2 linked regions of the Daphnia pulex genome follow. The protein of the gene in region 1 purifies or fractionates together with the protein of each later gene. This does not show direct contact. Links are inferred from orthologs where the notes say so. Each region holds a gene or a part of one and is shown in the gene's direction. Other genes may lie near its edges. The genes, in order: dynamin-1-like protein and TATA-binding protein-associated factor 2N-like.

The links.
Region 2: the proteins of dynamin-1-like protein (region 1) and TATA-binding protein-associated factor 2N-like purify together in Homo sapiens (affinity purification with mass spectrometry; 3 studies listed by BioGRID and IntAct, with this or other methods). This does not show direct contact. The link is inferred for Daphnia pulex from reciprocal best matches to the Homo sapiens genes DNM1L and SERBP1.

Annotation. Positions count from the first base shown.
Region 1 is NC_060025.1:9,307,274-9,314,111, forward strand, and holds the start of dynamin-1-like protein, read left to right. Parts: upstream 1-2,614; 5' UTR 2,615-2,818; intron 2,819-6,838. UniProt on the Homo sapiens protein: Functions in mitochondrial and peroxisomal division.
Region 2 is NC_060019.1:5,856,196-5,862,842, reverse strand, and holds the start of TATA-binding protein-associated factor 2N-like, read left to right. Parts: upstream 1-2,847; 5' UTR 2,848-2,911; coding exon of another isoform or gene 2,912-3,055; intron 3,056-3,128; coding exon of another isoform or gene 3,129-3,559; exon of another isoform or gene 3,560-3,868; 5' UTR 3,869-4,038; exon of another isoform or gene 4,039-4,302; 5' UTR 4,303-4,316; coding exon 4,317-4,351; exon of another isoform or gene 4,352-4,416; coding exon 4,417-4,658; intron 4,659-5,001; coding exon 5,002-5,125; intron 5,126-5,326; coding exon 5,327-5,680; intron 5,681-5,923; coding exon 5,924-6,647. Other genes in the region: translation initiation factor eIF-2B subunit beta-like, read left to right, coding at 98-162, 243-329, 397-675, 740-896, 965-1,159, 1,224-1,420, 1,495-1,567; asparagine-rich zinc finger protein AZF1-like, read right to left, coding at 2,017-2,521, 2,590-2,847, 2,912-3,055, 3,129-3,559. UniProt on the Homo sapiens protein: Ribosome-binding protein that promotes ribosome hibernation, a process during which ribosomes are stabilized in an inactive state and preserved from proteasomal degradation.

The DNA of each region.
Region 1 (6,838 bases):
AACACCAATGAATCATTAGTAGCCTACCAAAAAAAATATATCCATTTAATTTTACTGCATTAATTAAGCAAATATTAAACATGACATTTTAATCACAACCCACTTACACAAAACATCCCACCCGCACTCCAATTAGTTGAAACTGATGTCGTCACTGTCAAATCAACAAAACTTTGTCGATGTAAAAAAGAGTGCTTTTACCACTAATTAGTTTAAACCTAATCAATTTTAATTACGCAAAAAAAAAATTTGCTTCGTTGTTTATATTACCTATTATTTCAAGATCTCGTGTTTCTTTCAGATGGGCGTGTATCAAAGTCTCAACTGGTGGCGAAGAATTGCTTGCAGCACGTCTCGATCCGGAATTGCAGGTGCACAAAGTTTAAAAAATTTCCTGGTAAAACCTCGTTACAAGTCAATGCGGCCCGTGGGTGATGTCTTTACCACTGGCCAAGTTCTGTTGGATGTAAGTTGATGCTCCGATGGAAGAGCTCTTTATTTGAATTGCCAGTTCCCTTTTTTGTTAACACCACACGGCGGCAGTTGCGCAGTACCATCTGCTGTCCATAGAGTTCAATTTGCTCCATGTATAAATTGTATAGGTTTATTATGTATCACCGTACACTTCTACGTCGCTAATTATCAATGCAATAGAAAATCTGTCGAATTATTGAGAACAGCAAAGCTAATGAGGCTACATTGATTCATTTTCTGTTGCTAGATTTTTGTTTCTGACGGAAAAATCTCTTGAAAAGTGTATACCATTTATTCGTTATTTTCGGTTCATTTTCGATCCTATTACGTCACATTCATTACGGTGAATAAAAGAGGAAAGAGAGTGGGTTTCAATAATTTAGATGTCAAAAGTAAAATTTCAATGAGAAACCGAACATTAATTAGCTAAGAAAAAACTTGTTAAAGGCTTAAAGCATTTAAAGAGAAATCGTAATGATTGAACACTCACCTCGATTTGCACTTAATTGCTGAAATGATTTACATTTGATATCCCTACAGAACGTTGGATGAAGTAAGTCTTGTATCGAATCTGGTAAGTTCGGCTGTCAACTGATTTGGCGTGTAACTTTTGAACGTATATAACTAGTAGACTAACTAACGTTAATTTGAAGTGGGAAGCCACGTGACTAGGCCCGCAGTGGTGTCCGACCAACTGTACAATTGTACAGTTGCCCACGCGCCAACTCAGGCCACTGAATAGCCCATCTACAAATAAAGAATTGACTGGCGACAAGTTACAAGTATTTTCTCTTTCGGCTGGTTGCGTTCGGCCCAGGAAACGTGGCATAAATATTGAATGTTTCTCTAACAAGATCTCTTTTTATTTCGGAGGTGTTAACCGCAACTTTAAATGGAATTCCCCAGGACTTATACATTCCCAAAACCAAGTCGACGAAAATGGTAAATTAACTTTCTCTTAGACTATATAGCCCTCGACTAAACAACGTTAATACTTAATCAAAAGAAGTACAGCGAAGGGCGGCCGTTGGACAAGACGAGAAAAGGTACAGAAATTCCCGGAATCGCCACATATTGTCCAGTTTTCACACCAAAATGGGAACCTATAATTTTAATATTGCATGTATTGCATAAATCAGTGGGTGTGAGTGGGCATGATGCCCCGTAAGTTGCGAAACTGAACGTCTTCAATTTTCCTTTCGGGACTGAGTTCGGGAGTAATTTCATCCTTACACGAATAAATTTTCCCTCTTTCTATGCCATCTAACGGTCACGTCACGTGTTACATTTTCCCTCGCGCTCATATTTCACACCATTTGAATTTCTTATTTCACACGAATCTCGATTTCCAATAAATAACATAACTCCCTTCAACTATTTCAACTTTCAGTGTCATCAGCTTAAATCCACTATTTTTTTAAAGTTTGATTCAACTTCTTTCCTTCACGACGTGAAACATTTTTCCCAGCACCAAATGTTGCTAACTGCCATGCTTTCTTTTCCAATGCTTGGTTTTTATTTTTAAACTGATTAGAAGTTTAGAAATAATTAGATATTACCAAGATTGTACCATCATCCATCATAAAGAATTACTAACCTTAGTTACACACGATAAATGACTCAGAGACGATCAATGAAATCAACTGACGATTCTTATTATTATTCTTTTTTTTTCCTGCAATTGATTTAAAAAAGTGTTGATGTTCAAAAAGATGTTTTAAGAAAAATATATATATTTTCAAGTCATTGAAATAAATAATCAGTAGATTTGGCAATCGACAAGAAGAACAGAAAATTGGCGGGATAAAATCGTGGCAATTTTCATTTCCGACCGACGAGTCGACGAGGTAACAGCTAAACACTTACGATTCGAGTTCTCTAAAAACTTAAAAATGGTAAAGGTGATGCACGTGATAAACTTTCATATTTACATTTTAAATTATAGCGGGTGAATAAAAAATTTACTGTGAATTCATTTCGTTATTTAAAAAACGAATCGATTAATCTTGCATATACTCACGGCCATGGCCACACGTGGTTCGAAGTTATTCAACTGCACAAAGTGAACTTGAATTTTTAACTGATGACATTTATATGTACTAAAACAAACCCATAAGATCTCTAAGCCTGTGTACTTAATGGAAGTGTGAACATCAGAAGGTTGGATTTAGTGGTTTGTTGTGGCAGACCTCAAAACCTTTTCCGGGAACAGACAAAGAGATTGACCAGTTCTACCATCTCCAGAGTGTCGAGGGATGAAAGCCATGGCGTAGATGACTTTTCTTCAGCAACAGACAGAACAGCTAGCGACAATGGAGGAAATCATCTGGCAATCCCCGAAATTGTAAGTGGCACAACCTATTATTTCAATTCAATTATTATTCCAAGTGTTTGTGCTGGCTTATTATCTGAAACCATAGTCTTTGATAATTGCTAGTTTTTTTCTTATTGGGAACCTTTGCACTATTGGAAAGTTTGGTTGATTAGCCAAAAAAATTGAGTAAAATTACCATATTGACACTGTGTGCAGTTAGGCTACTTTTTCGCGGTTTTTTCTTTGTTATCAGGAAGCTTTCCTAATTGTGCAATTATGAACAGTGCTCGTCATTGATTGACTGTCTTAAAGTTTCTTTTTTCTTGAACGATTTGTTCACGTGGTTTAAATTTCTTTTTCACGACTTTATTTACACCAAATCAATAGAAAAGCTTCATTTTTGGCCGCTAGATGCCAGATAAAAAGCTACATTTGTCTACCGCTAGATGGTGTTGCTACCAAGAAATGCGCAGATTTGAAAAATCGAATTTGCCGATATCTACAACACACACACCTTTTGATGTCGATGAATTGTTTTCCACGAAATTTCCTTCTTTTCTCTTGATTGCGTGAAAAACGCCAAAGTTGAAGTTTTTAACGCCGTCAAAGTAGCTCGCCCCGATTGGACTAGTTGCAACGTCTTGCCCAACTTGTCATATTATTAAATAGAATCGAGTACTACGTAGCAGCAGCAGCAAATCATCTAATGGAGCATCAGTTACGTGTGGGTGGGTGGCGCAGTTCCTTTGATTCCTCCGTTCCGTTGCTCTCGTAGGGGAAACATCAAAAGGAAACCTTGATCAAGTCAGACTCGGAATTCAATCAACTTGCCAGAATAAAGTAAAGGGAAAAAGGTATTATATGCTCAGGGAAAAAAGAACTACATTGATATAAAAATTTCTGTTAAATTGAAACGGTAAAAGCCTATTGTTATCCGCCCCTTTTCTTCAACCTTGTATTCTTATCACCCGCCCCTTTTGATATGTATATATATATAATATCAATGCGTATATCCTCTGGATTTTGTCGAAGCGGAAACCCCCCCATCCATCCATCCAGCCCTACGAACAACACACAACAACCCAACGGGAAATTCTCTCGCCAAGAATGTTGGGAAACCAATCAGTCCATTTGTGTTGTCGCCCAACCCCATTGAATGTGAGGAAATCTCCTTGAGAGATGGAAGATTCCTTTATAAGACTCTCTCTCTGTGTATGTGATGGAATTAGAGACATTGATTATATATTTCCTCCCCACTTGAAAACAGGCCGGCAGGTGGAAATAGTCACACGGACGCTGGTGAAAATCCCCATTGACTTTTTGTGTTTCCTTTCCCGAAAAATTATTTTATTTTCTGTGGTGGTGGTGGGGGGGATAATTGAATGATGGGTCGAGGACTGTATCGCTTGTTTTCACAGTCTCTCGAGCTGATTGGAATTGCAAATTGAGTTCATCTTCTTATCAACACAAACAAGAGTTTCAGCAGCAGCAGCAGCAAAGTAATCAAAAGCGTCGAGTTGATTGCCCAAAGAAGTTTTTGAAGCTCTCGAATCGATTGGTTGATTCTCCCTTGTGGTGGTGAGAACCCTCTAGAGAGACTCCCGAGTTGTGTGTTTGTGTGTGGAAGAAGGTCAGAGTGCAACAACAGCAGCAGCACATACAATAAACATGTAGTGCAGTCGTTACTCGGCGGTCGTCGTGAGCAGTAAAAATAAGGGAAGAAACGTCGGCGTGAAAGATTGACGCATCGTGTGTGACTGGAAATAAGCGATGGGCTCCTTTTTGGATAGAGAGAGGAGAGATCAATGATTCAGGAGCGCCTCTGGGTCTCCATCCAATCGCTCTAAAAGCTTCTTCTTTCTATTTTCCTTTCTGAAATTTTCCGTGTTTTTATTTGATTTTTTATTTTCTGAGCCACTATCGATCGCCTTTTGGGCCCGGCAGGTATCTTACCTGAACTCCATCATCTTCGGCCCTCCAGTCGGAAGAAGAAATCCATCAATATCGATAGAAGCAGCAGCGGTTGTTGTATTTTTCTCCGTTGGGGCAGGGGGGGTTGCCAGCCTCCCCATTGATTAGATATAGAGCAAAATAAAGAGAGAAAAACTAGGGCCTAGAAGTTGTGTGGGCTACGTACGTGTGGCATCATCATCATCAAAGTAAGGAATCGTGTTGGGGGCTGGTAATCAGGGCGTCATTAATCTTGACCTCGAGATCCTCCTGTCACACATCCAGCCACAGCAGCAGCAACAACAACACAAAAGAGAGAAAAACATTGTAGATTATAAATATATATTTATATATAGCTGCTGCTGCCCAGTCAAACTCTTAGAGATGTACAGGCGAAGGGGGCAATCGCTTAGGATTAGAAGAACCAACCAACCAACCCCCCCGTACACTTTGAGTCGTCTCGTGAGAGCGCCAGATTCGAAATGTTACTTTTCTCTTTCTCTTACTTTTAGTTGTTGTTGTTGTTGTTGTGGGGTGTATGTGCTGCTGGAGGGGGGAGAGAAGGTTATAATCCGTTTGATACCCCGGCACGTGTGCAATAAGTCTTTATGGGTGCAGTACGCAGTAGATATATACGTTTATATTCAGAAGGGGGGGCCCCAAAAAGCCGGAGAGCTTCTAATATTGCTGAATCCATCCAGCCTCCGCCCGCCCTTCTCGGATATAATATCCTAAGAGGAACTACTACACAAAAGGGCCCAAAGAATATAGACGTAGTATATATCTATTTGAAACGGATCCAATTCAATTGTTAAAGGCTAAATTGAAAAGAATCTTTTTTTCTTTTTTTTTAAATCCACGAAATGAAAATGCAACAACAACAACAGCCCATCAATCGGATGGATAAACAAAACTCCCAGGAACGAAATCCAATCATTCTGTAAATTCTGAAATCGATTTTTTTTCAATATATGAGAGGTCGTCATGTGTCGGTTTGAATTCAATTTCGGCAACTCTTAACGAGAACCTGACGAGATTTGGTGAGCCGTAATGAAACGGGTGAATGATATTCATAATGAGGTGGCAATGATCTCTCCACTTTTGTTTTTAAATCTCTCTTTTGTTTTATTGGTTCACGCAGTTTCGTACGGGAGTGGGGGGGATAAAAGCTCGTTAGCGTTTCATTTGTTTATAACTGCTGCTGCCTAGACTCATCTACACTGAGTCTACTTAACAATAATAATAATAATAACAGACTATATAAGTTTTAAAGGGGAGAAAAAAAAGCTTTTGGGTTGCCGGCGGTTTACTTTTGGGGCTCACGAGAGAGAGAAAGAAAAAGAGAAAAAGGAAATTGGGTTTTTGGCTGCTGAGGCCAATTATCTCATAGCATGCAACAAGGATTCATGGTCTAATTGCCCGAGGATCCCCTGCCCCCGCCTACACCACCCACTGGGTCTAATCGAATCAACTCTATCTATAGTATAGACTCGTATACTCGTATATAGATTCTTGTGCGAGCCGGTTGTATTATATTATGATTAGGGAATAATCCTTTTTTTCCTGTTGTGGGTTAATTGACTTGCGCGACGACTCGATCGATGGATATTATCTCGCTGGCCCCAAATTTCTACGTATCGGCAAAAACGGGATTGAAGGAAAGTGATCAAGACTTTCCCAAATAATAAAAAAAAATAATAAAAACCGAGGGCGTGAATCAAAGTGGACCTTTTTGATTGATTCGTCTTTTCATTGTCTTTTTTCTTTCTTTTCTTTTGACTCCCATTTTTCACGGACTGACCCGCTGCTGCGTCACCGTTATAATAACCCGGACATTTGGCCCGAGGGCCTTAAATAATGGCTTAGAGAGCAGACTAGCACTATATAGCTGGCTGGCTAATAATCTCTGACCCGATTCGTGGCTCTGCACGAATCGTGAATTCGTGACTGGAATCCCGAAAATGGAAAGCCGCGAAACAACGTTCAATTCACTTGTGTGTGATATCTCTATATACAAGAGAGTTTGAGAGAGAGAGGCTTTGATTGATTCCCGGCGAAAAAATAACTTTGATTCAGCCGGGGAAACACAAGAAAAATGTT
Region 2 (6,647 bases), on another chromosome or scaffold:
GCTGCAAAATTCTCGTTTTCTCCAGTGAACTACTTCACTTTATTATCTGTCTTTAAACCAGTTATTTCAGAATAAATTATAGAAAATCAGTGTGAAAATGCCGAGTCTTGAAAGTGAAATTGAAGGTATAATTGAAACTTTCACCAACAATCTTAAGCAAAGGTATGATTGTTATAGGCCATAGAAGTAATGCTGGCTATTCCATCTCGTTATTGACATTCTGTGTTTCTTTTTATTCGTAGAAAGTTCAAAGGATCGAGAGACTTGGCCCTTAATTCCGTACAGCTTTGGAAAAAAATCATTGGTCAAATGAAATGGCAGAATGCAAGGTTTGTTAGTTTATCTCAAGTCCAGAATTCCTGTTCCAGTTATTAAGTGATTCAATTCAATCTGTAGGGAGCTTATGGACACCATAAAAAGAATAGGTAAAGATTTGGCAGAGACTGCACCTTCAGAAACAGTCATTGGCAACATGACAAGAAGAATGTTAAAGATTGTCAGGGATGAGTATGCCATGCTGCAGAAAGGAAAACAAGAAGAATCTGATTTGCAAGACTCACTTCAAAAAATTCTCACAGCAGATGAAAGTGATTCTGATTACACTAAAAACATCCCCTTGCTCAAACCAGCCATCATGGAGCACATTGGAGAGTTCCTTGCCGAATTAGAATCCAGGTTTGAGAATTTACCACATGTCTAGCTTCACAGCCTATTCAACTACCTTAATTTGTTTCCACAGTGAAATCGACATTTCCGCCCAGGCCCTAGAACACATTCACGCTAACGAAATCATCATGACTATTGGTTATTCTAAAACTGTCTCGGCGTTTCTGAAGTCAGCTGCGAAAAATCGTGTTTTCCAGGTCATCGTTGCTGAATGTGCTCCATTTTTCCACGTAGGCAGCGAATTTGAAAACGTTTATTTGCATAACACCTGTATATTTACTCCAGACTATTATTACAGGGACATCAATTGGCTGCAGATTTAGCCGAAGCTCGTATCTCTACTACCCTTATTCCGGATTCTGCCATTTTCGCAATGATGGCACGTGTGAATAAAGTAATCATCGGTACTCATTCTGTTATGGCCAACGGTGGTCTAAAAGCAGTGTGTGGCACTCATACCCTTGCACTGGCTGCAAAGCATTATTCGGTTCCGGTAATGGAATAAGTTTTGTAGGCCTACACTTTCAGCTAAAATAATTTATTTTTTATGATTTCAGTTCGTCGTATGTGCACCAATGTTTAAACTCTGTCCCGAATATGTCTGTAGCCTTGATCAAGATGGATTCAACCAGTTTGTGTCACCCGAGGAAGTATTGAACAACGACGAAGGCAAGCTCGTTTCCAAAGTGAACGTCTACAATCCAATTTTCGACTACGTACCTCCAGAGCTCGTCACACTCTTTATTTCAAATACGTAAGCGAATTATTTTTAAATAGTTTGAAGATAATGAAGAAGTATCTATTTTATAATCACACTTGTTTCTCTAGCGGAGGCAATGCACCGTCTTACATCTACCGACTCCTCAGTGAACTGTACCACCCTTTGGACGTGCAATTGTAATGTGGGAAAAAATGGCTTTGTATTAAAAAGGCCGAGATACATAAACACACAGCACTAAGAAAATTACGAACATGGAGTGAATTTTTGTTTCGTTTCAAAACTACAGTTGGGTTCTAAGTATTGGTCTTCTCTATCAGCAAGATTAAAAGAGTAAACACCAAAAGCACGAATCGATTGGTTAAAGCTTCATCAAGACACTGGATCGAAAGGAGAGAGTAAATTAAATAAGTAGTGAAGAGAACAGTCGATTCATCTTTCAGGTACGAGAAAGAGTTCTCAAAATAAAGTAGTGATGGAAATGGAGAAATATCATAATAAGCGAAAATAATACCGTTTTTCACTGAGCAATTACAAGGAAATGGAACAGCAGATTAGAAATTGACAGAATTGGAAGGATAGGTTATTGAGAGAGACAAAACTTTGGTGAATTCATTATGTTCATTTTCTTTTCAGCACTGCGAACTTGAAGAGGCCAGCTGCATCAAAGCAATCGCGCCAGTCCATTGTTTTTCGGCGTTTTGGAGTGCTCGCATTAAGGTGCTGTTATTGGGTTTATCTGGTGTGGACGTGTTTTTGGGTTGAAATACCCTGGGTGAAGCTATTATGACACTGGGTCGGTTCATGTTGGTAATGAGCTGTTCGTTGTTACTCGTAAGAGCTTCACGCAGCCAACGCCGCTTGGGTTTTTCGGGACGGACAGGTGTGTCAGGCAGCGCCAAAAATCCGCTGGAACCGTTAGCCGTTTCGTTCATGACGTTTTCGCGACTGGAATCCAAGGTACTGTTGAGGTGGCACTCCTGAAGCAAAGATTCATATCCGGATGATATGTCGCGGCGCGGTGTCGATTTAGTCGGACTAGTTATGATGGACTTGTTCTTGTTGTTGTTCGACCTCGGAGACCATTGAAGAGGAGTACAGCCAAACGAAGAAGGCTCTACAGCTTCGCAAAGTTTCCTGTAACAAAGCAAATGAATGTCAGATGCAATCCGAGAAAGACATTTGATAGTTTTAGTAACACTAACCGATAGAGGGGAATCGAATGGGTTTCATCACTAGTTGATTCCATTCCATAGTGCAGTGATTTGGCGATGCTGCCTTTGCTTCTACGGTGCTGTCTGTTGATGTTATTATCCTGATTCTGTTGTTCGTTTTCTTGTTGCGAGTCACTTGACCAGCAGGCTTTCTTTGTTCGACATTTCTTAATTCTAATACTAGAATCGGTATCGTCGTTGGTATCAGACAACTTGCCTGGTGTTTTTTCATCATTCCTCTTCCTGTAACTGAGAGTCAAACAGAAAATTATAATTAATTTGCATTCTTGAAAACCATATAAAATCAACATACTTTTCCAGCCAAAGGAGAACTTCTGGTGAGTTGTTTTCAGTTTGATTATTCAAGGCATGAAGGGCCAGCTCATGATTTCTTCGTAGTCCAGCATAAGGATGATCTGGACAATGTCGATTGGCATGAGTGAATCTGCTGTTACACCTTTAAAGAGAAAACATCAAAATTAACATTAATATTATTACATTAATATCAATCAAAATGTATTGTCACTCACCCAGCAACACTACAAATAAAAGGTTTCTCTCCTGTATGTAGTCTCTGATGTGTTTTTAGCTGCCCACTTTGAGTGAATGCTTTGCCACATGAAGGGTAATCACAACAGTAGGGCTTTTCCCCTGTATGGATTCTTTTGTGGGCTTGGAGGGATTTTTCTCGGGGAAATACACGATTGCAGATATCACAACGAATTGAACTGTGAGATGAAGATCCTTCAATAATCAGATTATTGATCACTTCAGCTCTCGGTCGTCCTCTTTTCAGACTATTTTCGTTGTAATTGGCTCTAGTAGTCAGCGAATCGTCACTATCAGTGACGCAGCTTTGACCAGTGAGAGCAGAGTTATCTAGTAGAATGAAAGATTGATCTTCTTCTTTCATTCGACACCTTTTCGGGGTTTCGTAGGCATGCAGCATTATTCCTTCCATCTTCTTAGTAACAGTTGACAACACTAATATTCCAAAAAATCACTTTCTTTTGATAAAGTCTCACGACGTAAAATCTCCCACACCGACAGTTACCACTGACAACAGAAGCGTGTTCCCCCTTTCCCCCGCTTTTTTTCCAACGTTTTGGCGCTCAAAACATGGCGTCATTGCCGACTCAAATTTCCACTTTAAATAATTGCAAAGTTACAACACATAAAAAAAAGACAATTTGAATAATTCTAAAATAATATTTAGTGGTTAAATTGGTTTTAGACAACGCATATTGAAATTTTTTTTAATTTGTCGCAGAGACGTGGTCCGGCAACACCACAGCCTTTAACGAAGGCAAGCTCCAGTAGTAGAAGTCCTCTACTGGCAACTCCAGTAGTCAGAATTCCCCTTCATTTCATGATTGTGCGGTTAGAATCGCTGTTAACAGCAAAATTTATATCCAGATTCATCGGGGCGTCAAGTCACAGGTAAAATTATTTCTTTAATGCAGTTAACTAGCTATTTATATCGTTTTCATTTGAGTCATATGCGTTATTTACGCATATTCTCCTGTCGTCGCGTGTTCAACGTTTTCTTCAAAGCATGTGATCTTATTGTGACTCGCACACTATCGTGTGGCTGTCCATAGTTTTTCATTGTGCTGTGGGACTTGTTCTTAGAGTCGTTCTTGGCAACTTTTCTGTAAGCATTTGTTCCGAGTGGCTTAATTTACCTTTCATTTTGTGTTACAGGGCCCCAGGAAAGCATGGAGGCCACGTACGGGATAGGAATCACCAATAGGCAAATATACACCTTCTACACATAAAAATGGATTCATGTATTAATGACTTGTATTTCAATCATAGGTATGCGTTGTTTTTAGATGAGGGTGAAGATCCTCTGGAAGTCATTAAGGAGAAAACCAAGAAACCGGCAGAGAAAACAGTCGATGCCGGAGCTAAAACTGGTAGTGCGAAGCCGGCCGAAGTCAAAGGCAAATCCGGTGGAGCTCCTACTCAACCAGCTACAGCAGCTAAGAAAACTGCTGTACTAAAGGAGACGCAAGCCAATGTTATCAAACCCGCCGAACAAAACAAGCCCCGTGAAGGTGAGTTTTTTTTTCCAATATAGTATTTTTCTTGGAAGTTACTAGACGAGTTTTATGACCTTGAGCCGCTGACAACGTGGTCACCACGTTGCGGGGATTTCAACTCTCTATCTTCACACCTGATATTTTTTACATTTTCCAATTACTTCTATTTTATAAATGTGAGCTATTGGCCCTTGTTGTTAATGTGTAATTTTGTTTGTGATGAGAATCTTTTTAGTGAAGAAACATTGAATGTTTCTGTTGAGAGCTAACCAAAAGGATACTGATTGTAAACAATGATCAATATTTCTGCGAAAGATTTTGTGATTTTCTAATAACAGGCATTTATCTTTGTTTTTAGATGGATATCGATCTGGCCTTGGTCCTAGACCACCAAGGGGAGACAGGGGAGGTCGTTTCCCCAACAGCATTCCCCGAGAAGAAAGGAACAACAGGAGGAATGAAGACCGTCCTAGGGATTTTGGGTGAGAATTACTTCCATAATTGATTCCTTTAAATTGTGAAGCTATCTGATGAGATCTATCTTGGCGAGTGTTCAATGACTAAGCCATGGCCAAAAGGATACTGAAAAGCTTGTAGCAATTATGTGTGATTATCTCAACTATTTCCTTTGTTGTTTTCTCCTTCATAATATTTTAATGTTAACCTTTCTGGAACAATTTCAGATCCGTGACTAACACGGAGGGTGGATCTCCTGGCACGGGTAACGATGCTGAATTCCGTCCTCGCTCGGCGTTCCGTGGTGAACGAGGTGCGTTCCGCGGCGGAGACCGTGGCGGCCGTGGTCGTGGACGCGGTCGTGGCGGTATGCAAGACCAACGAGGCAAACGCGATTTTGACCGCCAATCTGGCTCTGACAAGAGTGGCGTTAAACCCATTGAGAAACGTGAAGGTAGTGGTCCGCACAATTGGGGAAGCGTCCAAGACGAAATTGAGGGCCAGCTGGAGCCTGCTGTCGCTGAAGAGGTTGTCGAGGGAGAGGCTGAAGTCGTCGCTCCTGCTGAAACAGCTGAAGTCAAGTAAATAAGGCTTTATTTTTAAACTAATTGTTTTCCTAGCTTGAACCACTATCTACTGTGCATGGGTTCTATTTTGTTATTTTATTTCAAACTGATGAGACTTTGACGCCGAGAAAGATTTCAGAGAAACTTTCGTTGAATAAGGCAAGCCAAAAGGATGCTGACAACTTTTAAAGACTTACATTTACCATTGAAATTGTTATTAGATGTAAAATAATAATTTGAATCTTTTCCAAATTATAGGGAGGGAGAAGAGACTGCTCCAGTGGCTCCTGAAGATGAAGAGCCCAAGGAGTTGACGCTAGATGAGTGGAGAGCTCTGAGGGGTGAACGCAAGAAGCCCGAGTTCAATATTCGCAAGCCAGGAGAAGGTGAAGACAACTCTCAATGGAAAAAGACCTTTGTTCTTGACAAGAAGAAGGATGACGATGAAAGCGAAGAGGAAATTATCGATCTGACGGCCGAGTATCCTCAACGAGCTGGACGCCAAAAGCGTTTGGACATCGAGATCCGCTTCTCTGACTCGCGTCGTGGAAGCGATCGCGGTGGTCGTGGTCGCGGAAGGGGTCGCGGCGAGGGAGGATTCCGTGGTGATCGCGAAGGCGGTTACCGTGGAGGCTTCCGCGAAGGTGGAGAGCAACGTGAAGGTGGTGGATATCGCGAGGGAGGCTACCGTGGTGGATACCGCGGCGGCGATCGCGAAGGTGGAGAACAACGTGAAGGCGGCGGATACCGTGGAGGCTTCCGCGGAGATCGCGAGGGAGGCGAGCAACGCGAAGGAGGTTACCGTGGTGGATACCGCGGTGGCGATCGCGAGGGAGGCGAGACCCGTGAGGGTGGCGGATACCGTGGAGGTTTCCGCGGAGATCGCGAGGGAGGCGAGCAACGTGAAGGCGGCTACCGTGGAGGTTACCGCGGTGGATACCGTGGCGATCGCGAAGGAGGCGAACAACGTGAAGGTGGTGGC